Linked DNA regions of Mus musculus. The protein of the gene in region 5 interacts with the protein of the main gene of each other region in a pairwise test. Links are inferred from orthologs where the notes say so. Each region holds a gene or a part of one and is shown on either strand. Other genes may lie near its edges. The genes, in order: Abi2, Hsf2, Kansl1, Ssc5d, Nup62, Crct1 and Oip5.

The links.
Region 1: the proteins of Nup62 (region 5) and Abi2 interact in binary tests that used the Homo sapiens proteins (3 or more experiments, as listed by UniProt). The link is inferred for Mus musculus from reciprocal best matches to the Homo sapiens genes NUP62 and ABI2.
Region 2: the proteins of Nup62 (region 5) and Hsf2 interact in binary tests that used the Homo sapiens proteins (3 or more experiments, as listed by UniProt). The link is inferred for Mus musculus from reciprocal best matches to the Homo sapiens genes NUP62 and HSF2.
Region 3: the proteins of Nup62 (region 5) and Kansl1 interact in binary tests that used the Homo sapiens proteins (3 or more experiments, as listed by UniProt). The two-hybrid records come from large-scale screens. The link is inferred for Mus musculus from reciprocal best matches to the Homo sapiens genes NUP62 and KANSL1.
Region 4: the proteins of Nup62 (region 5) and Ssc5d interact in binary tests that used the Homo sapiens proteins (3 or more experiments, as listed by UniProt). The two-hybrid records come from large-scale screens. The link is inferred for Mus musculus from reciprocal best matches to the Homo sapiens genes NUP62 and SSC5D.
Region 6: the proteins of Nup62 (region 5) and Crct1 interact in binary tests that used the Homo sapiens proteins (3 or more experiments, as listed by UniProt). The two-hybrid records come from large-scale screens. The link is inferred for Mus musculus from reciprocal best matches to the Homo sapiens genes NUP62 and CRCT1.
Region 7: the proteins of Nup62 (region 5) and Oip5 interact in binary tests that used the Homo sapiens proteins (3 or more experiments, as listed by UniProt). The two-hybrid records come from large-scale screens. The link is inferred for Mus musculus from reciprocal best matches to the Homo sapiens genes NUP62 and OIP5.

Annotation. Positions count from the first base shown.
Region 1 is NC_000067.6:60,408,119-60,412,418, forward strand, and holds the start of Abi2 (abl interactor 2), read left to right. Parts: upstream 1-1,500; 5' UTR 1,501-1,684; coding exon 1,685-1,801; intron 1,802-4,300. UniProt on the Homo sapiens protein: Regulator of actin cytoskeleton dynamics underlying cell motility and adhesion. Functions as a component of the WAVE complex, which activates actin nucleating machinery Arp2/3 to drive lamellipodia formation.
Region 2 is NC_000076.6:57,484,885-57,489,184, forward strand, and holds the start of Hsf2 (heat shock factor protein 2), read left to right. Parts: upstream 1-1,500; 5' UTR 1,501-1,624; coding exon 1,625-1,717; intron 1,718-1,843; exon of another isoform or gene 1,844-4,300. UniProt on the Homo sapiens protein: DNA-binding protein that specifically binds heat shock promoter elements (HSE) and activates transcription. In higher eukaryotes, HSF is unable to bind to the HSE unless the cells are heat shocked.
Region 3 is NC_000077.6:104,439,521-104,443,501, reverse strand, and holds the start of Kansl1 (KAT8 regulatory NSL complex subunit 1), read left to right. Parts: upstream 1-1,181; 5' UTR 1,182-1,777; intron 1,778-3,981. UniProt on the Homo sapiens protein: Non-catalytic component of the NSL histone acetyltransferase complex, a multiprotein complex that mediates histone H4 acetylation at 'Lys-5'- and 'Lys-8' (H4K5ac and H4K8ac) at transcription start sites and promotes transcription initiation.
Region 4 is NC_000073.6:4,932,321-4,935,820, reverse strand, and holds part of Ssc5d (soluble scavenger receptor cysteine-rich domain-containing protein SSC5D precursor), read right to left. Parts: intron 2,687-3,500; coding exon 2,369-2,686; intron 1-2,368.
Region 5 is NC_000073.6:44,814,744-44,818,887, forward strand, and holds the start of Nup62 (nuclear pore glycoprotein p62), read left to right. Parts: upstream 1-1,344; 5' UTR 1,345-1,740; exon of another isoform or gene 1,741-1,915; intron 1,916-4,144. Other genes in the region: Atf5 (cyclic AMP-dependent transcription factor ATF-5), read right to left, coding at 246-423. UniProt on the Homo sapiens protein: Essential component of the nuclear pore complex. The N-terminal is probably involved in nucleocytoplasmic transport.
Region 6 is NC_000069.6:93,013,705-93,016,880, reverse strand, and holds Crct1 (cysteine-rich C-terminal protein 1), read left to right. Parts: upstream 1-1,194; 5' UTR 1,195-1,265; intron 1,266-2,030; 5' UTR 2,031-2,052; coding exon 2,053-2,361; 3' UTR 2,362-2,676; downstream 2,677-3,176.
Region 7 is NC_000068.7:119,609,032-119,612,268, forward strand, and holds the end of Oip5 (protein Mis18-beta), read right to left. Parts: intron 2,825-3,237; coding exon 2,721-2,824; intron 1,334-2,720; coding exon 1,288-1,333; 3' UTR 501-1,287; downstream 1-500. UniProt on the Homo sapiens protein: Required for recruitment of CENPA to centromeres and normal chromosome segregation during mitosis.

The DNA.
Region 1 (4,300 bases), on a different chromosome or scaffold from region 5:
CCATCTCTCCAGACCCATCAACACAGTTTTTTGATTTACTGGTTTGTATAAGAGTCTGATCTGATGTTTGTTTTCTTCACCTGTTTGTACCTCATTTCCTGAAACAAGTGCATGTGTCTATACATAACTATCCCCCTCCACACACTTTAGGCTTCTCTTCTTTTTCCACACATAGTTAAACTCAGCTACAAACCCCAGCTCTCCCTTTTGTTTTTAACAAGCTTCTCACACTTAGAACATTCACACTAAGACAGGTGTTTAAAGTGCTGAACAATAGATCCAGGTGGACCACATCATCATTTAAAAATACTGTTTTAGGCTCTGCGGCAAAAGCTCACGCATATTGGTAATGTATTTATCATAAAGCCAACGTAACAACACAGGGTTTACTCCACAAATATGTGAGCGAGTGCATTTGATTTTTTTCTAGGAATGTATAATCGTTCCCTCATCATCTGAAATTTGATCACAGGAGGCCAAGTGACAGCAAGAGCAATAAAAGTTGAAACCACAAATCCTAAACTCTAAACCCCTCTAAGATGGTGGGTGCCCTTTGGGTTTCCACAGAACTAACAAAGATTGTGGTCTTGATATCACAGAAGGTGTCAGTTTTATTTATTTTTTTCAAGTTTCACGGTGTGGGCCAATCATATTTATGAAAAAAGATTAGATATCTGGATAACAAGACCAGGATGAACGTCCTTGAATTTGTAGTACTTAATCTGAAAAAAACGCACGTTTGTCATTGTTCGTTTAATCTTATTCATGCTACAACCATGTGAATAAATAAAATAGTACCAGCAAAACCACCATCGAAATTTTAAAAAAAGTGAAGTGAGGAGGAGGCCCAGGCTGGGCAACCACAGCATGTGGCTGTAATTCCAGTCAGCCCGGTCTATACAGGAGACCATGCCAAGAAGAAAGAGAGGACAGGACAGGGGACGGAAGGGAGTGAATGAATGAATGAATGAATGAACGAACGAATAGGTTTGGGACTAGGTAACTGCAATTTGTAAAGAAGCCGATGAGGTTCAAGGTGGTATTTAGAGCTGCCTGGAAGTTCAGTGGCTCTGCCTGTTCGGATGAGGTGTTATCTTTCACAGAGCTTGTGAAGACACTGTGTCCTCTCCCTAGGCGAGCTTCCTCAGGCAGATGACCTCCGCAGGGTTCCGGCCCCGGGTGAAGTGCAGAGGTGAAGATGGGGGGCGGCGGCGTGAAGCAGCAGGGAGCAGAGGTGCATTCCCGCCCGGCTAACAAAGGCTGCTGAGGACTCCCAGACCCAGGAAGGCCGCGCGGGGCCGAAGGGTTAACCCAGAGCCCCGCTCCCGCGCGCATCCCGGCCCCCGCCCTCCCGTCGCTAGGAGACGCCGGAAGTGGGGGAGGGGCGGCGCGGGTGGGAATCTTTTTCGGGCGCTGGGGGCGGGTGGAGGGGAGCGCGCGTGCGCGCGCCCGTCGCCGCGGTGACCGTCCTCGCGGCCCGTCGGCTCGCGCCCCGCCTCCATTCCCCTCCGCCCCCTCCCTCGTCGCGCGCCGTAGGGTGTGTGTGGGGGGGTAGCCGCTCGCTCCTCCCGATTCCCGCCGCGTCCGCCGCTGCTCCTCCTCTCCCGGGCGTCGCGGCCGCTGCCTCTGCGGGCTGTATGAGGAGGAGTAGGAGGAGGAGGAGGAGGAAGAGAAGGATGTGAAGATGGCGGAGCTGCAGATGCTGCTGGAAGAGGAAATCCCGGGGGGCCGCCGGGCTCTCTTCGACAGCTACACGAATCTGGAGCGGGTGGCCGACTACTGCGAGAATAACTACATCCAGGTGCGATGCGACGCGGCCCCTCGCGCGGCTCGGCGCGGCAGGACGCGGGCTGTGAGGGGCGCGCGGGGCGATGGCGAGCGGGGGAGGCCGCGCGGTGCTCGGTCCAGGGAGCCGCGCCGGGGTAGGGACAGGGCGAGGGCGGCGGCTGCAGGGAGCGAGGGTCGCCACCAGGCCCCAGCAGCCCCGTGCGAGTGACCGGTGCGGTGCCGTGCGGTGCGTGGCGTCCCGCCCCCTCGCCTCTGCCCCGTCGCCCCCGCAGTCCTCTCCTGTCAGTGTTCCGGATGGCGGGGGAGGTGGCGAGTGGCGTTTTCTGTCTAACGGGATCTTGCTCGATGGCAGGCTTGTGTGACAGAGGGATAGGTTACCCCCTGCCCAAATTCCGAGGGACCCCCTTTTTATTAAGGGGTCCTTTTTCTGCAAAGTGAAATGCCTCACTTCTCCATTCCTGCGAATGTACCCTGAAGACAAAACAAAAATTCTTAACCCTTAAGTTTAAACATTTTTAAAATGTAAAAGGGGCATGGTGGAACGGCTGTCTCTTATTGCAAGTTAATACCATTTTTTTTTTCTCCTCCCTGTGGAGAATGGGAAACTGATAATGAGCTGCCTTTCCTTCTCAGGTCTCGTTAGAATAGGTAATTTTCCTTTGGGGAAAAAAGAACTATGACTATTTTCACAAAGAATTAGGGAAACGAACCACATGGTTTAGTTTTTTTCCCATGATGATTGGTTTGGCCCAGGGACTTCAGTGTATGTGTGTGTAGGAAGGTGAGAAGTGTGTGTGGGGCGGGGCATTGGTGAGATGAGAACCAGCTGGTCATGGGATAAATGTAAAAATTTTGTGAAGCAACACTTTAAAAATTAACTCATGGTATGCAAATCCAGTATCTCTTGTTTTCCGTAGGGCTTATACTGAATTACAGGTTGTGTCTACATTTTTTTTACTCCCGTTTAAATTCTTTGGATAAAATGGAATGGAAGCGTGATGCTTAAACTGTTAGCTGTATTTTAATGTTCTTGTCCCTACTCCCGTCCCTGCAGATATCCTTAACAGCAGTTGTATTGAAAACATTCTCAAATCTGAGTATGAATTGGAAAAAAAAAAAAAACCCCAAAAAACCAAAACAAAAAAACCCAGATGCTGCAATTTATAGGATCTTAAGTTTTTTGAGGACCACATTGTTAGTCAAAGACAATGTGCTTAGATTTTATTTGGTTATACACACACTGAACTCTACTATTATGTTGTAAACATTTGTATTGAGAATGAATCAGACATAATTGAATCTTCTCCCCTAAAAAGAAGTGGTGGAAAGTGTGTGTTCAGTAGGAAGAGTGTGTGTGTCTTTGGTCAAAGATTGATCAAAATTCCCCACAAATGTCTGTCAGATACTTTACAAATACAGAGCTATGTAGGAAGCATTCAAAGGTTTTACTGCAGGCTGGAGAGATGGCTCAATGGTTTAGAGCACTGACTGCTCTTCCAGAGGTCCTGAGTTAAGTTTCCAGCAACCACATGGTGGCTCACAACCATCTGTAATGGGATCTGATGCCCTCTTCTGGTGTGTCTGAAGACAGCTACAGTGTACTCATATACATAAAATACATCTTAATCAAAACAAAACAAAGATTTTTATTGCTTATCCTGAACTCTTCTGGGGTTTATAATATAGTTCAAGAGACCGATCTGTGAGCAAATTAAATAGCAATACCATGTACCATCAGCCCTTCTTGTGGGAGGAGGAAATAGTCTTCCTTCTTCTTGTCATTCCCAAACAGTGTAACAACTACTTAACGTGCCATGTACATTTTATTATATAGTATAAATAATGTACAGATTTGAACTCTAGGGGAGGATGTGTGATAGATTGAATGTAAATTTTATGCCATTTTATGTAAAGGACTTCAGTATCCAAGGATGGGGTTGGAGTGGGGATTGGGGTGGGGTGGGAGTGTGTCCTAGAACTAATTCCTATTGGATACTGTGCGACGAGCTAAGTATAGTTAATTTATACTTTGTAGGGAATTGTGGGTAGAAAGGTGATGCTTATTTTCAGGGCGTCACAGCTGCTTGGAGAGGCAAAACCTAAAAGACCCAAAGTGCTAATTGTGTTCCCTTGTGTAACATAGTATGGGAAAGTCTTATCTGTCAGAAGAGAAATTGGGGAGTGGAAAAGTGATTAGATTGCAATTGCAGCCAGCTAATAAGAAAAAGGTTTTTGAAAGATGAATGTTACCATAATTTGAGATTATAATTGCCACATAAAGGGAAAGTACATGAATTGATAAAGTGGAGAGGTGAAAGAGATCACATTGTCTTAAAATTTATAATTCTAGCCTACAGAGTATCAAAGTTGGTGTGTTATTTATACTTATACTTATTCTTTTTTTTTTTTTTTTTTTTTTTGAGACAGGGTTTCTCTGTGTAGCCTGGGCTGTCCTGGAACTCACTTTGTAGACCAGGCTGTCCTCCAAGTGCTGGGATTAAAGGCACCACCA
Region 2 (4,300 bases), on a different chromosome or scaffold from region 5:
TCTGGGACTGAAAATATTCCCAAACTGAGGTAAAGCAACCCATCATCGCATTGGAATGTGCTTGGAAACTTCTAGCTAACCCACTCTGGGAATCTGGCTACAGAGTTGGTTCTGATTAGCTTTGTGTAACTGGTTGAATAGAATTTGTACCAACCTGAATCAGACCCTTTGAAGCTTCCTCTTTGGGTTGCTGTGAGGATTAAATAGGATAAGACATGCAAAGCCCTTGTCACATAAGACCTCATCAAATATTAGTCTTTTTTTTTAAAATCACAGTTACCCCATCATATATCCCCATCATATATCCAAACAGTGCTGTATGACTGTGTTCAGTATATGCTTACTGAAAAAGTTGTCTGTCTGTCTATCTATCTATCTATCTATCTATCTATCTATCTATCTATCTATATTTCTTGCCATTAGCCCAGGATACCTGGAGCTCACTATTTAACCCAGGTTGACCTCCACTGCTCCACAGTTCTACCTCAGCCTCCAGAGTGCTTGACTTACAGATTCCAGACACTATGATCAGCTATTAAGTAACAAACAAAACAAAACAACAACAAAAAAAGTTTTTTAAAAAATCTTTTTTTCAGAGATCCACGTTATTATAGCTACTCTTCACGGGTAGAAAGTCTTATTGTCAATGAAGAAATGGGAAATTTCGCTCAAGAAGCTGTTCCGAATCACATTTTGCCTGAGGAAACCCCTGTGAGGTACATGCAGAACAATCATTTTGACTCAGATACTCTAAAACTAGACTCGTTGCTTTTGAACTGGGCTTATGACAGGCACCTGATGCTTGCTGAGTTGAGAAAAGCATATAAGATGCTCTTAACAGATGCTGGCTCCTAATAGTACACACACACACACACACACACACACACACACACACACACAATAGCAAGTACTTCACAAATAGGGAACTATTATTCATGCTTCAGGTTTTGATAAAACTGTCCTTAAATGAGCTATTTTTCTCCCCATGAAAAATGTATAGAAAAGCTCATTGTCTTTAAGATAGTTTCAACCAGGGGCCTAGCACATCTGCTCACAAGCAGCTCACTGCCCCATGTGATGTATTCCTTCCTTTAGATTGGAGCAAATTACTCTTCGCCGGTCAAACTTATGAGTCAACTGCCCTTGGGCTTCTCTGCACTCTGCCAGCCACAGCCGGTGCACCCAAACCCTTTCCATGCGAATCCACTAAACAAGGTTTCCCTGGACCCAATATCATTCCCTAAGAGAGTACCCTGCCTAAAAGGTAACAGAGAAGGCTGAACCACTCTTGGGCCCACCCCTCCTCGCGGCAGCAGCCAATCGCTTTGCTCTGTAGTGCATCCGAAGCCTTGGATTGGACTCGCTGAGACCGGGCGCGGGAGTAGAGCGCAGGGGTGGAGCGCGAAGCCTTGTCCATCACGTGCGGCCGCGGGGTCTCTCCGCCTTCACCGCGCGCCCCGCGGCGCCGAGGGGGCGGAGCCCGAGATCCGCCGCGCCTGCGTGGTGTGCGTTCCCCGGAGCAGCAGCTGCTGCCACCGCCGCTGCTGCCGCCGCCGCCGCCGCCGCCGCCGCTGCGACCTCCGCGTTCGGTAGTAGAATTTGGAATCCCTGCACCGGGCTAACAATGAAGCAGAGTTCCAACGTGCCGGCTTTCCTCAGCAAGCTGTGGACGCTTGTGGAGGAAACCCACACCAACGAGTTCATCACCTGGAGTCAGGTAGGGTCGGGGACGCGGTGGCCTCGGGTCCCCCTTGTCGAACCGGCTCGGCTCGGCTCGGCTCGTTTCGGCTCGGCTCGGCTGGGCTGGGTTGGGCTGGGCTGGGCTGGGCTCGGCTTCTCCCGCGGCCTGCGGCGGCGCGCGGCCTCCCCACCTCGCGCGGACCCCCGGCTTTGTGTGCGCGGCGAGCCGGGCCCCGCAGGCTCCGTTCTCCTCCGGCCGCGCGCCGTGGGGGAGGGGCGCCCTGGTAACGGTCCCGCCGGCCCGGGGAGCTCGGAACCGGCCCCGGCGGCGCGTTCTGCACACTCATCCTCAGTCGTCTGCTCGCCGCGGGGCGCGGAGGTCGCGGAGCCCCGGGAGAGCGGGCGAGCGGGCTAGTGAGCGAGCACAGGTCTTATCTAAAGAAATCACCTCCGCGGGGATTGCTTGCCCTGGCGTCTGGGATCTTTTATGATGATAATGGGAAAATGTGCAGACTCCGACTGCTCTTGCCTTGAGCTTTTAAATTTTATTTATGTATTTTATTTATGTAGTTTTAACATAGAAATTTCCCAGTTATTGTTTTGAGACTGGGTCGTTTCTTTAAAATAATTCAAGTAAAAGTGCCTGTAGACTATGCTTAGTAACTTAGCGGCTTGGAGTTAAAAACCGAGTCGTTAAATTTCACAGAATAGTTGCCGGCATAGTGGTTTGTGGTTGCCTTGATCAGTTTGATCCAGATCCTCCTTATAAATAAAGATGACCTTAATCAAGCCCGGTATCTTGCCTGGTCTAAGTTATGTGTTAGATTGATGCGTTGCCTAGGTGACCCAAGACCCCCTCCCCCCAGTTCCACACAAAGATTCTTTGCAGAGTGATTCTTTACATCACTTGTGCCTTTCCTTTGCTAGACTCGCAATGCTTGGATTGTTCAAATCTCTTCATGAAGGGGATCGGCTCCTCTTACTGGAGTTGATGACTTATTCAGGGTATTTTCATGTTCACAGTTTTTGAGATGAGTAAGTGGGAAATACCTAGCTATATGTCAAATAAATGTTATCTCCTCCGTTTCATTTGTGCCCTTTTCTGTTGTTAAAACTAGTTTTCACCCTTGCCTGCTTTTAGGAGGTAACAGCAATAGAATATACCTGATATTTGGACAACTATGTCACTGAATTTTTGCTGAGTATTAGTGCCAAGTTTTAAAAATTTCTTTCTAGGATTTAATTTTCGTGTGTATTGTCACATAGGTGCCCCACCCCCAACCCCTGCTGGTTGTGTAGACTAAGCAATTGATTAATTTGATACATTGGTACAAAGAAGTGAAAATAAAGAAAGGCAGCTAACCAGCATGAACTTAAAATAAACAGACGGCTCATGCTTTTCATCAGGCAGAAGGATTAAAGGTTGACGAGACCGGATCAGTGCAGACCGCTCCTCAGCTGTCTTTTAACATTAGAAACTGGACTGAAATAATTTCTTTCCCCCAACCAAGCTGAGGTCATTGAACGTGAATTTGCAAAAGGCCATTTATTTGTATTGTCTATAAGTTCTACACAAATGTATTGGCAATTGGTTCTAATTAAACAGTATTGTATAAGTGACCTGATAACTTCAATTAGCCAAAACATTTTAATAACTTTCTTGCCTTTTTTGATCGGTAAGGACTGTGGAGAATTTAAACTAGTGCATACGTGTGAATTCTTAATTGTAAATGAAACAAGCTACTTAATGGCTTTTAATTACCGTATTAAGTCTCAGTTTATATTTTTAATTGCCCATTTCTAATACACCAATAGGACAGTCAACGTGTAATTAAACTCAGTGGGGTATTGGTTCTAGAGATACAGTTGGTGCTTTAATGTTTGTGTCACTGAAACTATTACATTTACAATGTAATGGGTTTGATTGGAATGGAGAAACAGGTGTTCTGAGATAGATATGAATGTGGCCCAAAACTTTTGTAAATGACAGAGTAATGTATTGTCAAAGGTTGGACACCCCAGATGGGATACTATTTGGAATGCCAGTACTGAAAGGTACAACTTTAAGCTAATGTTGATGGAAAGCCAAAATAAGTCTTTTTTGTTGTTGTTATCTTTTTTAAAAGATTTCATTTTTAACCATGGCCTTGTCTGTGTGTGCATATTGCATATTTGAATGAAGGCAGAAGAGGGAGCCAGACTTCCAAGTCTTGGACTTTGGACTGTTTTGAGCCTACCCACATGAGTGGTAGGAACCAAACTGGGGAACTCTCTGAGCAGTAAACTCTCTCTTAACTGCTAAGCCTTCCCTACATACAGCCTTGCTGTGCTCTTCTAAAAGTTTGTTTGTGTGCCTAGCTTCCTTTACATTTGTATTGAGTTGTAGAGGTGATTTTAGGATTTACAATTGGCTCAGTGGCTATTACTTTAAGGCCTTTTAAAAGCAGAAGCTCTTGAGGACTAAGCAAACTTTTATGCATCCCCTATCCTCTACAGTGATAGACAATCATATACTCCTTTAGTTTGAGGATAAAGATTTCTTTTGAAAGAAACCTTTTCACCTGTATTCTGGAAAGCTTGACTTAATGGTCCTACAGCTCTGTATAAGTTCACTTTTCCT
Region 3 (3,981 bases), on a different chromosome or scaffold from region 5:
CTTCTCATCTGCTGAGCTTGGTGATTTAGTTGTTGGAACAAGTTTTATGCTATTTGATTTTGGTGAGTCCTAATAATCTTTGGACATGGTTAGCTTTAAAGGGTGGTGGATTTGTACTGTGTAATGTGTCACTTTGCGTTATATTAAGTTTTCTAAGTCCAGAAAATGTTCTCTGATATTAAACCTTATTTGGGAGGAAGGAACCGATATCGTGCTGACAAACTAGAGTCAAGAGTAATTAGGTGCCACTACTTTTAAGTCAACGCTGGTAAGAACATGACAGGTTTGCTTTTGTTGTTCATTGTTAAACTTTTAGCGGGTCTGTGAACTTTAATTTGGTAGTAGCAGGAAACAAAAAAATTACTGTGTAATGAATGCGTTTTTGCCTATTTTGGCGGATCTGACAAATCAAGAAGCCTAAAACAACACGCGGGCTTAACGAAAACTACAGTTCCCAGCGGGCCCGGCGCTGGTGGGCCATCATTTCCCCTCTAGCTCCCAGCTGCCCCTGCCCGGGCTAGCCCCGAGTCGGTCCTAGCTCGCGCCTGCGCAATGGCGTCCGCTTATTTTTTGGTTTGGCGGCTGCAGAGCGTGGCGCTAGGGCTAGCAGCCAGCCGTGTGCTGCAGTGTACAGAGCAGGGTGTAGGACAAAGGGCGGGTGGCAGGGACCGCGTCACTGGTCAGGGAGCTTCCTGCCCGTCTCAGAGCACGGTTGGCCCTGGGGTAGTGTGGCCGCAGCAGCTTCTTCATTCACTGCACACACAGTTCTTCGCTCACGTCCTCTAGCTCTGCTGTGTCAGTCCGCCCTCCCCTCAAACCGGCGCGCAGCACCGCCAGCCACAGAGCCGAGGGAATGTGACGGCATCAGCGCCTCAGGTTAGCCTCACCTCGATCGAAGCGAGGGCCCCGCGTCGCTTGCCGCAGTGCCGCGTGTCGCTGCCGCACGTATCAGGCACCAGGCACCGGTTTCCGCAAACAGAGGCGCAGAAGCAGCGGCCGCGGCTAGGAGCCATGACTGAGGCGGCGGCGGCCGCGCCTCCTGGCAGCCCGCGGGGGCGGCGAGGCGGGCGCCCCCTGGCGGCGCGCCGGGGCGGAGCGGCCCGCCGCAGCCGCAGCCGGCGGAGGCGCTGCTGTCCCTCCTCCCCGTGTCCCCGGCACTCGCCCGCTCGCTTGCTCGCTCCATTCTCCCTCCGCTTCAGATTAAAGGGGGGGAGGGAAAAGGAGCTCGGCCGCCATTTTCCCAGTGCCGCCGCCGCCACCGCCACCGCTCGCTGAGCCGGCGGGAGAACCAAGCGCCGTAGCGAAGCCGACTCGTCTCGCCGCGGCGGCTTGGGGGGCGGCCGAAGTGCGCTCCCCGGCCGGGAAGAAGCTCCCGGGGTGGCGGCCGGGGTGCGGGCGCGGGCTGCAGACGGCGGCGCTTGTTTGTGCGGGGCGGGGGGGGCAGCTTTACCCTCTGCCCCCGCCCGCCCGGGGCTGCGGTCCCCGCCGTGCCCAGGCCGGGTCGGAACGGAGGAAGGCCGGAGAAAGGGCCCGAAAGAGAAGAAAAAGCAGCCGCTCCCCGCCGCCGCCGCCTTCCCCTCCCCCTCCGCCTCGCCCCCCCGCCCGGAAAGTCAGGGCGGCTCCGGGCGCCGGGGGGGAGGAGAGCGGCGGGCCGGGCCGGAGCAGCAGCCGCGCGCCCCCGCCCGCTGGTCCTCGGCGCCCAGGCCGGGGGGCTGTTTGCAAACTGCGCCCATTTTGTGGGGCCGAATCCGCCCGGGCTACGCTCCTCCATCACGTGGTAGGTGCTGCTGCTGCTCCTTTCCTCCTCCTCCCGCTGCCCTTTCTCCTTCTCCTCGCTCTCCCTGTGGTTCCCATTTCTCCCTCTCTTTGTTAGTTGTAACTAGAAAGGCTGGGCAGGGGAAGAAAAATCCCCGGAACTTTAAATGGCCTCTCCGGGCTTCCCCGCTGCGGGTCCGGGCTGGGAGTCGCCCCAAGGGCGGGGGTGTGCGGGGGCCCTTCCCCACCAGCTGCCGCCTCGTTCGCTGGGCTTTCCTTTGGCGTTCTATTTAAAAAGGCGGCCTGGAGAACCTGGTTTATTTCCGAAAAAAAAAAAAAAAAAAAGCAAAAACAAAAAGACCAAAAACAAACTCTTGCTCTCGCCTTGAACTTCTCTTGACTGCAAAAGGTCTTTCTTTGCTCAAACACATCTTGCATGTCTGTCTCACGGTTTGTATCACAACTCTGATTGTTAACATTTTTTGTTGCTTAAATATTGAGGTCATTTGCGTTTTCGGATCTAGTCTCAGGCAGCCCTTTTTTTCAACTAAAGAGGAAGAGGCATTTATTTGCTTTTAAGTGAGTTGGAATCTTACTGCTTTTGGGGGGGCCTGTTTTCGGACTGACGGCCTTTGATTCTCAGCAAATAGTTTATAATTGTTTTCCGTATTGTAAACAATCTTACTCCCATGTTTTACCTAGAAATCCTTTTGTTTTCCAATGTTGGAATCCCAATGTGGATTTTTAGAGAAACTCGTTACTTAACTATTGCTTATTGATTGCCTTAGGGGAAAAGGGGTGACATGATGGCGCCACTTTAAATTGCTCTTTCCTCCGCCTGTTTTTTCCTCCTTTATCCTGGAGGTCACTGGAGCATTTTCCGTGACCTATTAATAAAACCGCACTTGAGGGTGTTAGCTGTACAACTCTTAGGGGTTAGAATTTGGTACCTTAAAGATTGAGAAACCCGAATCCTGCAGTCCCCAAAGTTAAGAGAAATCTCGCTAGTCCTCCAACCTAGCTTTCCTCCCCTCCATTCACAATCCTGGTGTTGCCATATCCTTCGTCACGTGGCTAGCAATCATTGTGGGGTTTTGTTTGTTTGTTTGGGGGGGTGTATGTTAATATTTTAAGCTGTAGCCAAGTAAGTGTCCCTCTGCCCATTAGAGAGATCACAATGCTCTAGGGTTTTTTTTTTTTAATACATTCGGAGAACATTTTAAAATAAACGATAAAATTACATAATCCTTGCCTTGCATAATCATGATATAGTTACAGAACTTCTTCTCAAAAGTACTTTCAATCAAGTAGGAAAATCGTTATATTAAAATGATTTCTGTTTCTTAGACTGGTCTGCAGTTTATATTTCCCACCCCACCTCCCTTTTTTGTTTTTGTTTTTAAGGTCATTTGAAGTACCAGTATTTACAAAAGCATAAAGTGGGCGTGTTTCCCTTTCCTCTCTTCTATGGGCTGTACTTGGTTTCTTGTCTTATTCTCCTACCAATTTAGAAATTTTCAATTAACTGCAGCTGTTGTCAGTTGAGACTTTTTTTTTTTTTTCTTCTGACAGTGGATACTTTTGATGTGTTTCTTTGTTGCATTTTTGATAGAGAAGTTTTTAATTCTAGTTTTCCAATCTTCTTACTTGGTTGTTATAACTTCTTGTAAATATTAACTATAAAATGCTAAAGTACATTTTTTTCTTTTTCTAGGTAAGTTACTAGCTTCAAAAAGTAAATATAAAATGTAATTCTTGAGTATGATTGATCTGTTTTCTCCTGATGTATGTTATCAATGGCTTGGGCCATTTTCTTTGCTAACAGTTACATCATGTCATGTGATAGGTGCAGTGTGATGTGTTGCTCTAAAAATATTGCGAGGTAAAAATGCTCATCCTTTGGAAATTTAAACAATGTATTGTAACTATTTGGTAACGACCCTTAGTCATGGAATCCTGAATTAGATTTCCACTAGGTTTAGCCAACCAAGTGTACAGTTCTTTTGACCTTTAGAATATTTGATTTGATTTGTTAGTGACCTCAGAACTTGAGGTGGTTTGACATTATTTTTGAAGTGTGATCTACTTGGAACCATTAACAATCACATAGATTCTTAAAATCTTTATTCTGATGAAGGTAGTTATTTAATTAAGTGTATGTGATGATTTGTTTCTGTACACAAAAGTCATCAGTTCTATGCAGATTTTGAGATAAATTGGAGGTTT
Region 4 (3,500 bases), about 40 Mb from region 5:
TGGAGTGTCTGAAGACAGCTACAGTGTACTTACATATAATAAATAAATCTAAAAAAACAAAAAATAAAATAAAATAAAATAAAATAAAAACTAAATAAAGGCAATCTATACTAAGTGTGCTTGCCCCCTGAGCATTGCGAGCATGTCTACAGTGCATTGTTCCCTAATTATCTCTCTCACCCCTACCTGCCTCTCTCCCCTCTTCATAACCTTGGGTTTTTGTCATGCGATCCATCAGAGGTCATCTGCGTTACCGGTGGATTAAAACTGTCATTAAGAGCCTGGTACAACAGTTAAAGCTACTTTGAGATCCCATCTCATCCCAGTCAGAAAAACTATCATCAAGGAAACAAATGACAGCCAATAGGAAACAGAGTCCTCCTTCACGCTTAGTGGGAGTGTCTAGTGGTGTAGCCACTCTGGGAAACTAGCGTGCAGATTCCACAAAAAGCTGGGGCTAGGGGCTGGAGGGACAGCCCAGCAGGGAAGAGTGCCATACACACAAATGCATGTACATGGTTAAAAATAATAAAGTCAATTTTTTTTAAAGTCAAGGAATAGGGAAATGCAGGATAGCTACTCCACTCCTAGGCACACACCCTAAGACAGTGGTTCTCAACCTTCCTAACACTTCCACCTTTTAATGCAGCTCCTCTAGTTTTGGTAAACCCCAACCATAAAAGTATTTTTTGTTGTTACTTCATAACTGTAATATTACTACTGTTATGAATCATTATATAACTAGCTGATTATTCCAGGACTTAAGTGACCTCTGTGAAAGGCTCCTTCAACCCCTAAAGGGGTCACAACCCATGAGCTGAAAACTGCTGCCTTAAGGGCTTCATCTCTTAGCAATGTATCAGCTGCTTATGTTTTTACTCTGAGACGGGAGCAAAGCTGTCCAGGCAGGCCTTGAACTTGTGATCCTCTTACACCATCTCAAGTAACTAGGATTATAGGTCTGCCCCACCATGCCTACACACACACACACACACACACACACACACACACACACACACACACACACACTAAAGATTTACTTCTATTTGATGTATTTCCCCTTCATGAATGTCTGTGCTCTATGTGGGTTCAGTGCCTGCAGTGGCCAGAAGAGGGCATCAGATTCCCTACCCACCAAGTAGAGTTAGAGAGCTGCCATGTGGGTGCTGGGACTCAAACCTGGGTCCTCTTCAAAATCAGCCAGCACTTTAAACCACTTAGCCCCTGATTGTTTTCCCATGACAAGGACTCTATAGCTCAGGATAGCCTTAAATTCGTAAGAATCCTCCTGCCTCAGCCTTCCAAGTGCTGGTACCACAGGCTTGCTCTATCACCACTGCCTTTTCTTTCATATTCAGTACCCTCAAGAGTGGCATGAAGCCTACAAGCCAGTCCCCTGCTCCCCGTCCTCCGGTGGCTCCCAGAGGAGACAGAGGCACTATCCTGATGACTCACTCTATCCTTTGAGTCACCAATATCCACACTCTGTCTCTCTGGTTAGGCCACCTAGGCAGTCAAGGACGAATCATGCCCAAGACAAGCTTGGGGGCTTTGCCCTGGCTCTAGGAAGATGACCTCTAAGCCCTTGGAATGTTCTTGCCTGGTAAGAAACTCTTTATATGTTTAGGGGAGGCAGTTTGCACCATGTTAAGTCCACACTGACAATGTGATTTCTGAACAGCCCTGAACGTGGTCAATCAAGCCCCTACCAATAAGCAAACAAACAAACAATCAATCCCCATAGACATCAAGACTAGCACATCTGGCTCTTCTCTCATGTTGTCACACACATGTTGCTGGGCTAATCCAGCACCGTTTATACCCCTCCCACACACACCAGGACTTCACACCTAAACTCCATTCCACATGTGTTTGCTTTCCCTTGGCTGAACTTAATCTGCATCTTCAGTATATTGAAATACAACCCCCCCCACCCCCCACCACCCCCCACCTCTCTCATTTCTGGGAGTCCTTTAGCAACAGAAGGAATGTCAGTGCGGTTTCAGAGACCTCCCAAACACTGCTGGTTTGCAAGAGCTTGTCTGTGTTCCCCTTGCTCTCCATGAGGCGTGAGCTCCTCAAAGACCTGTACTATGTTCATTCTGTTCTGAGCAGCCAGCTCCTAGCTCAGTATCTAGCTGTGGAGCTGGAAAGCAACCCCTATAAATGGGGGGATGCACTGCCAGAGTTCATGTGAATTAGCCCTCACTTTGGCTACACATAGGCAATTTGAATGAGGTTATATGAGCTAAATACCCACTACAGAGCTGGAGCTTGCAGTACTCAGTCAAGTTAACACCACCTTTAGCCTCCACTGCTTCCACTTAGAAGCCCTCCTAGAGCCAGTGGGTGGCTAGTGCATCCTCACCAGTGCAGGTAACCCCGACATCCTCATTGTGGGCGCAATTGTGTTTCCCCCAGGAAGCAGCAGGGCATTCTGACAGTGAAGCCTCCGTCCCCATACAACCTACGTCATCCAGCCAGATGGGGCCTGCACCCCAGCCAAAGCGGCCTGCTGCGGGGTCTGGTTGCCGAGGCCTCCCACAGCCCAGCTCCCGGCAGACCACAGCTGAGTCTCTCATGTCCCAGCTGTCATCACATACTGTCCCCCAGCGTCCGTCATGCCATACCTCCAGCCGGCCAGAGCACCTGCTGGGTCCAGCCACCAGGCGCAACTGGGGGGACCCTGGAATAGGAAAAAAAAAAAAAGAAGAAGAAGAAGAAGAAGCAAGAGTCAGGGTCAAAGAGCCCAGCTAGCACTCTGAGCCTTCATCTACCTGCCTTCTGCCTTCCTTTCTAAATGCCCATCAGCTCCCTCAGCTCTGCTTCTCCTCATAACCCTTCAGCTCAGGTAGCAGGCACTGATCGAGATCTCTCCTGCACTGGACACAGAGCCAAGCAGAGCTGGCTGGCTCCTCAGAAAGCTAATGTAGAATTACCATATGATATAGAAATCCCACTCCTAGGGATACACCCAAAATACATTGAAAGGGGGCTGGCGAGATGGCTCAGTGGGTGAAGGCGCCTGCCCTCAAGCCTGACACCAGAAGTCTGACCTGTGGGACATCTACATGGCAGAAAAAGAGTTCTCCCACTATGTGTACTGTGGCATGTGTGCACACATGCATGCACGGAGAGAAACGTGATTTTAAGAACTTGAATGTATCTGTTAACATTTAATCATTTCATTATTATTAGAAATTCTGACTAGAGACATGCCTGCTCCTGACAGTACCCTCTTCATGGTTCAAAGAAGAAATTGAGCATCAACACCTCCACATGGAGTTGCTCCAGTAATGGCAAGGTAACCACTAAGCAAAAACTGCCCTATTCATCTGCAGACAAAATACTGTCCAAAGAGGACAAACAGATGTGGGCTAGTCAACTGCTAAGCTCTGCCAAGGCAGGGTAAGCTAGCCCCTCATATTCCTGCTTTATTTCAAGGTCTGTCAGATGGTTCTGGGCCAGAAAGCGGAAGACAGATGCTCTGACATCTGTTA
Region 5 (4,144 bases):
TCTACTTAGAGGGGCTGACTTCTCAACTATGTCTTTCATCACTGTCCACTAAGCTTTGGTCTCCCACTTCTGTCTCCTGATGCACCCATGAGCTTAGGGATCCCTTGCTCGGAACCCTGCAGACCTAGAACAGTGTTGGGCACACTGCAGGCCCTCAGTACTGATCTTGTGAAGGAATAAATTCTTCCTTTTCTGTCCACCCCCACCCCCAGCTCAACCCACCTCTCTTCTTAACCTGTTCTTACCTGCCAGGGGCTCTCCCCCCCCTGGAAGCCCGCCCTCCAGGGCACCCCCAAGGACCTCATAGGGGCCCAGGGGGGCAGGGGCCAGGGGGAGTTTCCCATAGTCTACGAGCCAGCCCAGCCCGCTAGCTGGGAGCAGGGCCCTGTCCAGCTCCAGTCCCAGGGTCGCCAGGAGTGACATGGCTGTGACACAGGCACAGGGCAGCGACGGCAATGGAGGCTGCACCAACAATTGGGAGGCAGCGTGGAAGATTGTTCAGCTGGGTGAAGACAGGCACCAAGGCGAAGGTGGAGGACCTGTGAGGACAAGGGGACGTGGGTGGGATTGAGTCAAAGCGGCTTGACCCACAGGCTACACAGTTTCCTTCTTTCCGAAAATTTCAGCGCTCCACACATTCCCAGGGACATTATTGGAAACTCCCCTGCCCCATCTCCTCCCTCAACACAGAAACCTAGTGTTTTCCCAGGGGAATTACCTCTAGTCCCTCCTACCCACCTCATCTTATTCCTCTTCATAAAAATTTCAATCCCAAGGGAATTTCCTTCTAGCCGTGCCCCTTCCGCATCATTAGACTATACCCCCTTTAATCCACAGGGGTTCCCAGAATAATTCTGCATGCCTGGGCCCTTCATCAGTGTCACACACACAGATCCCGCTCTTCCCTTAAAAATTTTGGTGACTTCTAAAGATTCTACGGGAAGCTCCGCCCACCCTTCTGTCTGTCACAGTCAGTTCCCGTCCCCCACTAGCAAGTCCCTAGAGGCCCCGCCCCTGTAGTGCTAGTGCTAACTCTTTCTTAAAGGTGTTCCTAAAGCCTTTCCTGTCAGTTTAAGCCAGTCCCCGCCCCAGCAGGTGTCTGATTGGAGGGAAGTTGGGCCTGAGTCGGAGCCTCAAGCAAAACCCCACCCTTCCTCGCTGCTGGCTCGACTAGCGACGAGGCGCAAGCTCAGTCCCAGGACCCGATCCATTGTTACGCCACTACCCTCCTGGGGGACCAGTGCGCGTGTTTAGCCAATGACCGGCCGCCCGCCGTAGTTCAGGCCGGGGGTGGAGGGGTGGGGGGGTGGGGGAATAAGACAATGCGCATGCGCAACAGGTTGTGGGGTTGTCTCCTTGGAGGAAAAGGGGCAGAGGGTCTGTGAATTAGCGCGCAGGCGCAACGGCGCGCGAGCCGACCTTAAAAGCCCCCAAATTCTCCGGAAGCACGCCCTCCTCCTCCCCGCCCCTCGCAACTCGAGCCTAGTGCGCTTGCTCAGCGGATGCGCCGGCCGCCAGCTTCCCTCTTCTGCGCCTGCGCGACCGTGGTTCCTCACTTCGTCTCCCCCGCCCCCACCACGAGGCTGACCCGTGAAGCCCCGCGAGCTCTGAAAGGGCGGGAAAGGCAGTTGGCGAGGGAGGGGCGAGCGGTTACTCACTCCATGGCGGCGAAAAGGCGAGGAGGCAACGGCGGCGGCGGCCTCGGCTGAAGAGACGGTGTGAGCGGAGAGTGAAGGCGCGGTGAGCGCGGAGACGGGGGCGGGGGACACGACGGGGTCGCGGCTACAGAGCCATTGCGCGGGCGGAGGCGGCGTGGCGGGAGCGTTAAGGGAGACTGTGCTGAGAGGGTTGAAAATGAGGCGGCCCCGGGGCCTGGGGACAAATATACCGGGGGCGGCGCAGCGCGGGCTTGCCTGGATCCCTCCGCGCCCCGCCCTCGCGCGGCCCCGACGGGGCGGTGGCGACCCCGGGCCCGCCATGTCGCCCTGACCCTCCACTCTCTGCTTCAGGCTGGGGGCCCGGGCTCGGTCTCCTGAATCGGTCAGATCCGATGTGTCTTTCACACCCGAAACCAGCTCGTCTCGTTCTCTCTCCCTGCTTCACGAATTTGCCACCCGAGACCTCGTGGGTTAAGCCCATCGCCGAATGGCGCAAGCTAGCTTAGGCTTCATAGAGGAGTTCCAGGCAGCAACCGCGAGATAACGCTTCCCAAGTACTTGTAGAGCGCTGTATACGCGCACAGATATATCAGCTATGGAAAGTAGGCCACGAAGTCCTAACCACGAGACTCTTCAACATATTTTTGTTTGTTTTGTTTTAACATTTATTGTGGTGGTCAGAGGAGAGCTAGCAGGAGTTGGTTCTCTGACCATGTGAGTCCCAGGGACGGAACTCGGGTCAAACTATTTGGCAGCCTTTACCCACTGCTCAGTCATTGTATTTTCTTTTAGAAAAAAACCCTGACTTCACCTCTTTTACTCTCCCTACCCCAGATTCTTAGCCATATGATCGTTCTGTGTGTCCCACCTCCAAGGTTTCTGTTTCCAGCCATCCCTGCCGACCTCTAAGGTTTTGCCCTTGCTCTGACTTTCTTGCAGTCCTTGCTCTCTTGCTGACCCCACTAGATAATTATTTCTTGATCCTGTCCAAAATAGGACATTTATATTCCATTTAGTAAAAGAGTCCCTCTTGTCCTTCACCGGGGATGATGCGTGAACCCTGTTTTCTACCCCATGTTCATGTACATGGCTGGCATTCCATGTGAAAGTCAGTCAGTGTGTCATATTTGTAGCAGCTGAGAGACTGAATGGTTGGAGATAGAGCTCAAGAATGCTCGTCTGTTTTTAACACCAGAACCTTAGTCTCTGTCCAAGCACCACATGGATTGGGCTTGACTTGCCTGTATTCTCAGGATTTGGGAGATGGGAGAAAAGAAATCATGAGTTCAGGGTCATACTGACTGGCCTCAATGTGTTTTAAAAAGAAAAAGTCCAGAGGCCAGGCTTGATATCTCACCTACTTAGGAGGCTAAGACAGGAGTATTGAAAGTCAAGGTCAGGGCTGGAGCTGCTTTGAGATGGCTCTGGTGGTGATCTCTAAACTCAACCCTCCTGAGTTCCATCCTCAGGACCCACTTGGTAGAAGGACAAAAGCAACTCTAGACGGTTGTCCTCTGACCTCCACCACCTGTAGTGACAGGTCTACATACTGAGTAAGGGGAGGAAAAAAGCTCAAGGCTTGCCTTGACTAGAAAGTGAGTTCTTGGCTGTCTAGAGAACTTAACAAAGATCCTGATTTTAAAAAAATATGTAATGGGCTGGGGTTGGAGGTTGGTGGCAGAGTGTTGGCCAGAATACTGCTTTCCAGACTCTGGTGTCCATCCCTGGTACTGTAAAAGATTCAGAGCAGGTGGGGAATACTGATTTTGAAAGTTACAAGTCCTTGAGATAATTCCCCTTGGAATGGGCACTCTTTTTTTTTTTTTAGATTTTATTTATGTAAGTACACAGGTTCTCTTCAGACACACCAGAAGAGGGCATCAGATTCCATTGCAGATGGTTGTGAGCCACCATGTGGTTGCTCTGGAAAAGCAGTCAGTGCTCTGTAACACTGAGCCATCAGAGTGTGAATTCTTATCTTCTGCCAGTGTTTGAGCACAGGCGTGATTTGATGTGTTTAGACTCCAGCCCTCCCTTGCCAGCTATGGGCTTTGTTAAGTCCATGTGGAGTCTGCTACGAATACAGAAATGGGATGGACCCAGAGCTTCATGAACTGCATGCTAAATGGACATTCTACCACCTGAGCTGCATCCCTGGGCCCCACAGGTGCTGGTTTTTATTTGAAACATTGTGCCATGTTGCTGTGCCGGTGGTGCTCCTTTCCTTGAGTTTGGTATTTTAAAGTAAACTTTTGGAATAATCGAAAGGTTTCAAAGACAGTGCAGAGTGGGGGTACCAGCCCATAGTCTTCCCCATGGTACTTCTTTTTTCTTTCCTGAGGTCCTACCCAGATGCTTCCCCCGCCCTCAGATCCACCTTAACTCAAGAGCTGGTTTTCACATTTAGCTGCCATGCCCTCCCCAGCATGTGCACAGCCGTCACTTTATGGGAGTTGTGATCATCCCTGGAGGCCTGCCACCCTGAG
Region 6 (3,176 bases), on a different chromosome or scaffold from region 5:
TCTTCTTGGAATGTCTTACCTCTTCTTGCCAGGTGCTCTGGTTCAGTAAGCAACCTGTTAATCAGGCTCTAAAGCCATGGTAAATGAAATGGGTATCTTCTATGACTTGTCTTTCCTTGTCTGTTTCCTCATGCCACACCCAGCAATGCACCCCAAAACCTATCTCACTCTTAATCCCTGAATTCTTAATCTTAGATTCTCTTATGTCTCATACTCATGGTTGGTGTGACCAGGTAGTTCCAATGATTGAATCAGAGGCAGTTGACCTCCAAAGTTTCCTCCAGTTTTATAAATCAGCTAATCGAAACGCAACAATTACTATGGGAACTTTCAGGCCGTTCCCCCTTTTATTTTCCTCCTTTTTCTTCTTTGCTCTTTTATTTTATCCTTTTCATTTTGTTTTGTTTTATTTTGTCTTTTTCCTATTTGTCAGTAGTTCTAGGGACAATCTATCCTTAAGGAGATGATATCAGAAACAGGAGCTCCATAGGCTAACCAGCTTACTATTTTCCAATAGGCCTATACTCCTCAACCATTTTTGTCTGCGATCCATCAGGGTTACATAATGGGAATATGGTCAAGTGACTTCTTTTGGTCTTATTGGTCCCTTAACCTTGCCTGGGCTATTCTTCCTGTTAATGGTGACAGGAAGAAACCACCGTTGTGATTTCCATCCCCACCATCATCTTCCTTCAGTGCTCTCTAGAAGCATCTGGATAAAAGCCAGAGGGTTCATCACATAGCCTGCAGCCTGCTATGAAAGACAAGAACCAAGGGCCATAGAGATGCAAATAAGACAATAAATGATAAGGAGATAGCTATACATGAATAAGTGTGAGAAAGTAGAACAGTGCAGGTGTTCTCCTCCCCTCCTGCTGTGTGTGTGTATACAGTGTTTAAGAGAGAACCCCGGACCTCTCCTCATTTGACCCCCCCCCCCCAGGCCTTCTCTAAGCACATACAGCCCTCCCAGCTATGAACAGTATCCGGTTTGAAAAGTAAACACACCACAGCAATCCTGGCACCTCTGTGAAGTGACTTGGTTGTCCACGTGCACCACCTACAGTGCTATCTGAGTGATGAATGCTTCTGGGATGTAAGTGTCAGCTGAGCATGTCTGTTGAGAAATGGGCTCCTCCCAAGGACCTGGACTTGTTGGAATCTTATAAAAGCTTCTCTGGCCATACACTGTTCAGTCTTCTGCCTAGCAGGTGTCAAGTTCCAGTTGGAGAACTGAGTGAGTCTTCCTGTGGAGCCAAGGTCTAGTAAGTATCTAAGCGGGGTGTCTGGGGGAGGAAGCTGGGGAGAATGGAAGACAGAAAGGAGGAAGTAGGATGCAGCCAGAATGTAGCTGTTGGAATCTGGCTTCCAGTGAGCCAGCCTTTTGTGTTGCCTATGAAGATGCAAAGGCTTGGCATGGCGCTGACCTTTGAAAGGTTTTCCAGACTGTAAAGAGCTTTGAGTAACCCGGGTCTTTAGGTTCCCTGGTTAAGTTATTCCTATTCTCTGCCTTTTCCTTATAATGTGAAGGACAGGCAAGAAAGAAGGTGCAGAGCACGCTTTTGTGTTTTCGAATTCTCTATACCCAAGACAGAGGGACACAGGTAATACTTGTGTGTTTTCTGACCGATGTGATGCTTATACGATATTAACTGAGATTACCACTTGAAAGAGCTGCGTGGTCAAAGTACAGTTAGGAAAAGGCTGAAGCCAAGAGATTTTTGATTGAGTCATATAGATAAATTGCAGCCGTATGCTCTTTATTTTCCATCATGGAGCTCTTGGATGGTCCTAATGTCAGTCAGGGAGACTGCACTGATCCTTTTCAAATTCTGTTTCCTGCTTTGTGCCTCCACCACTGGAAGCTCCTGTTTGAGTTTGTTTCTTTGTTTCCCTTCTTTTTCTTTCTTTCTTTTATTCCTCTTGTCCCAAAGCCAGACAGACTTTTCTCTAAGGCAAATACTTAAAGTTCTGTGTTCCACTATAGGGAAGAAAAGGCGGGGTTTTAAAAAAGATTGTCTTTCTTTCAGATTCATCTTGACAAACGCCGAGATGTCTCAACAGGGCGCCAAAGGCTTTTCCAAAGGGTCTTCCCAGAGTTCCGCCCCCTGCCCCGCCCCGACTCCTGCCCCCGCGTCCTCCTCCTCCTCTTGCTGTGGCGGAGGCTGCTGCAGGGGCTGCGGGGGCGGCTGCGGTGGTGACTCTGGCTGCTGCGGCTCCAGTTCCACCGGCTGCTGCTGCTTTCCCAGGAGACGCCGCCGACAGCGCTCTGGCGGCTGCGGCTGCTGCTGCGGAGGAAGCCAAAGGTCTCAACGCTCCTGCAACAATCAGAGTTCAGGCTGCTGCTCCGGTGGCTGCTGAAAGCCTACAGAGCTTCTCCGGAACAGCTGGCATCGCACAGCGTCTTTGCTGCTCTCACCCAGTCCTCCATAGTAGTAACAGGAAGGACCGGCCTAGGAGTTTGGTTTCCCTTAAGCTAACTGCACTTTGATGTTCAGAAACTTCACCCTGTTCTTAGACCTGTCCTCTAACGTTGATTTTCCTCCCAGGGGATACAAGTCAGGGGTGGGACTTCAGATCACGCTATGGGCAGGAGGTTGTGCACAGCAGTGTTCAAAACAGGCCTCCTGATTTGATTGTCGCCTGGAGACATAATAATAAAGCTTCTACCTCCTATGAACGCTTCTTTTCCTATTTATTCCTCCATCCGTGCCTTCAGTTTTCTTATTTTATACTACCTACCCCTCAAAGGCTCATGCCTGAAGGAGAACAAACACATTAACTCTCTGCGAGTTCTCAGGATTTGGGGTAGGCAGTCTCATCTACTTTGTGTAATGACTCACTGTGGTGGCTGCTGCTGCGTCCATTTTACAGAAGGGAAACTAACGTTAAGCTCAGAGTCACTTCTATGCCTGCAAGATGGAGATGACTGCAAGATTCCGGAGATCATTTTGTTAATTGGTGTGCTTAGCTTGGTCTACTCGAAGTGATTTGGAAACTCGGAGTTCCTCCTAGAGCAAGCCTTGCCCAGTCCCCAGGCCCAGACAACCGAGGGAGTCTGGTTTGAAATGGCAAGTTTAGGAATTTGAATTCAGTTCTGTTGAATGTTTTCTCTTCGTTCCTCTTTTCTTTTCCTCCCTTCTTTTCTACTTCTCCCCCCCCCCTTCCCTATCCTT
Region 7 (3,237 bases), on a different chromosome or scaffold from region 5:
AGATGGTTCAGCAGGTTAAGTACACTTACTGCTATTTCAGAGAACTAGGGTTCAGTTTCCAACACCCTAACTACCTATAATTCCAGTTCCAGGGGATCTGACAGCCTCTGCAGGCCCAACAGCAGTGTGGTGCACATCTTTAATCTCAAAATCTAGGAGGCAAAGGTAGGTGGATCTCTATTCAAGATCAGCTTGGTCCACATAACATGTTTTAAAATGGAGATTACACAGTGAGACCCTGTCTTAAAACAGTAGCAAGGGATGGAGAGATGGCTTAGCAGTTAACAGCACTGACTGTTCTTCCAAAGGTCCTGAGTGCAATTCCCAGCAACCACATGGTGGCTCACAACCATCTGTAATGGGATTCGATGCCCTCTTCTGGTATGTCTGAAGACAGTTGCAGTATACTAATGTAAATAAAGTAAGTAAATTAAAAAAAAAAAAACCAGCAAAAGATACAAATTCTTTTTTTTTTTTTAAGATTGATTTATTTATTATATGTAAGTACACTGTAGCTGTTTCCAGATACTCTAGAAGAGGGCATCAGATTTCCTTAGGGATGGTTGTGAGCCACCATGTGGTTGCTGGGACCCAAACTCGGGACCTTCGGAAGAGCAGTTGGTGCTCCCAACCACTGAGCCATCTCGCTGGCCCCTGAATTCTTTATTGTACAATGTATTCTATTTATTAACTGTTACTTATTACATACATATATATATATATGTACATATATATATATATACATACATACATTTGCTGTTGCTGCTGTTTTGTTCAGACAGGGTTTCTCTGTGTAGACTTGTCTGTCCTAGAACTCACTCTGTAGATCAGGCTGGTCATGAACTGATCTATCTGCCCACTTCTGCCTCCAGAGTGTTGGGATTAAAGGCATGCACCACCAGCATCCAATGTACACATCTATTTTACATAAGCAAAGATGATTTCTCTGTGACATTCTTTAATTCTAGCAGAGAAGCAGAGGCATGTGGATCTCTGTAAGTTTAAGGCTACCCTGGTCTATATAGAAAGTTCCAGGACGGCCAAAGCTATATAGAAAGACCCTATCTCAAAACAAAGGAACAAGTATTTATCAGTTTTCATAAAACTGGCATGTCAGAGTACAATCACTATTACCTCCATCGCTTTATCCTGGCCAACTTCATTTTTTCAACAGTGGACACAAGGGACACTGCATGCTAATTAATTATTAGTAGTGAAATACATTTTCAGAAATAGGCATTATGGAGTAAATGTACTAAAATAAATTTAAAGTAATAGAGTCACATGTTACAGGATCTTTGGTGATGCTGTTAACCCCAAGATGTGTTGTTTCCTAAAAAACAAACAAACAAACAAACAAAAACTAAAAAAACTAAACTTTATAGTTGTGGTGTAGCTCAGCCCTTACCATGCATACATATGCGTACACACACCTTTAATCCCTCTGGCTGGAGCACAGCATACAGATACGCCCTTACTTAGTATACATCTTTAATCCCAAATAATGAAGGTAAAGTTAGTTTATAGAAGGAAGCACCCATGTTTGAAAGTGATGTCTGATTGAGCAGCAGACAAACTGACAAATCAGAGAAAGACTTGACAGAATAGAATATGCCCAACTAATGAGAGAGAGAGGAAAGGAAGCTACTGAAGGGGCAGTGCAGAGAGAGAAAAGAAAAGATGTAGTTTTACCAGGAGAGTTTTACAGAGACAGACTGAAGAAAGAAAAGCTAAACACAGGTAAAGACAGAAGGAGCCAGAAAATGAGAACATATTGGCAAAGTTAGTACGAGGTCAAGCAGAGTAATTCAGAAGCGAGAGAAGCCAGACTGAATAGTCAGCATGGTGAGATGTTTGAGCCAAAAAGCTGACTAGAGTTCAGAAAGAGCTAGAAAGGGTGAGTTTATGAGTTTATTCAGCAGTAGGTCTCAGAGGCTAAAAACATTCTAGATCTCGGTAAGATTGTACAGAGTCTAGAAGCTTCCAGGATTAAGCCTTAGTTAGCAGATGGAGGCACCAAGCCTTGGAGAAGACAGTTACATCAGGCAAATAAGGTATTAGCCACAGCTTATTATGAAAAAGAAAAACACTCCCCAAAGCAGGAATGGGCTGATGAGCTGAGGAAAGGCATAGGCTCAAAGGCATATTCTCAAACAATTGTTTCTGGGAGGAGTACATGTGAGACAGGGTCTTATGAAATTTAGGGTGGCCTCAAATTCATAACACAGCTAAGGATTGCCTTAAACATGTGACCTTCCTTCTTGTATTTCAAGTGCTGAGATCACAGTTATGTGTCACCAGTCCTCAGTTCTTAGTAATATTTAAAAAAATAAAAGACCAAGCCGGGCAGTGGTGGTGCATGTCTTTAATCCCAGCACTTGGGAGGCAGAGGCAGGTGGATTTCTGAGTCAGGTGGATTTCTGAGTTCCAGCCAGCCTGGTCCACATAGTGAGTTCCAGGACAGCCAGGGCTATACAGAGAAACCCTGTCTCAAAAAACAAAAAACCAAAAAAAAAAAAAAAAGCCTATAGTAAAGGAAAGGATGGATATAGCCTAGTTCTAAAACAACATCCCATGCCGCCTTCTGGCCTCCACGGGCAACGGCACACATGTTACAGACAGACAGACACACACAGAGACAGAGAAAGGAAAGAGACCTTAAGAAAAAAAGAAGAAATGACCAAAGCACCCCAGTTGTTGAAGAAAATTCTGTACTCTACCTTGCTTGTTGGTTTTCTTGCTTAAACTGATGAGGAGACTTTCCCTTCAGAAGCCCCGTCAGTGAGTTTAGACGAGTATGCATTAGCATTATCTTCTCTTTCAGCTGGGAGAGACATAGATTGGAGACATCTTATACTCACCCCTTGATTTGCTGCTTATATTGTTACTAGACTTAAAATAAAAATAAGTCTAGCTGAGCAGTGGTGGCTCACGCCTTTAATCCCAGCACTTGGGAGGCAGAGGCAGGCGGATTTCTGAGTTCCAGGCCAGCCTGGTCCACAAAGTGAGTTCCAGGACAGCCAGGGCTACACAGGGAAACCCTGTCTCAAAAAACCAAAAATAAATAAATAAATAAATAAATCTACGAACAAAACAAAACACACTTAAAAATTGCCTATAGTTCGGGAGGCAGAGGTAGGCAGATTTCTGAGTTCGAGGCCAGCCTGGTCTACAAAGTGAGTTCCAGGACAGCCAGGGCTACACAGAGAAACCCTGTCTCAAACAAACAAACAAACA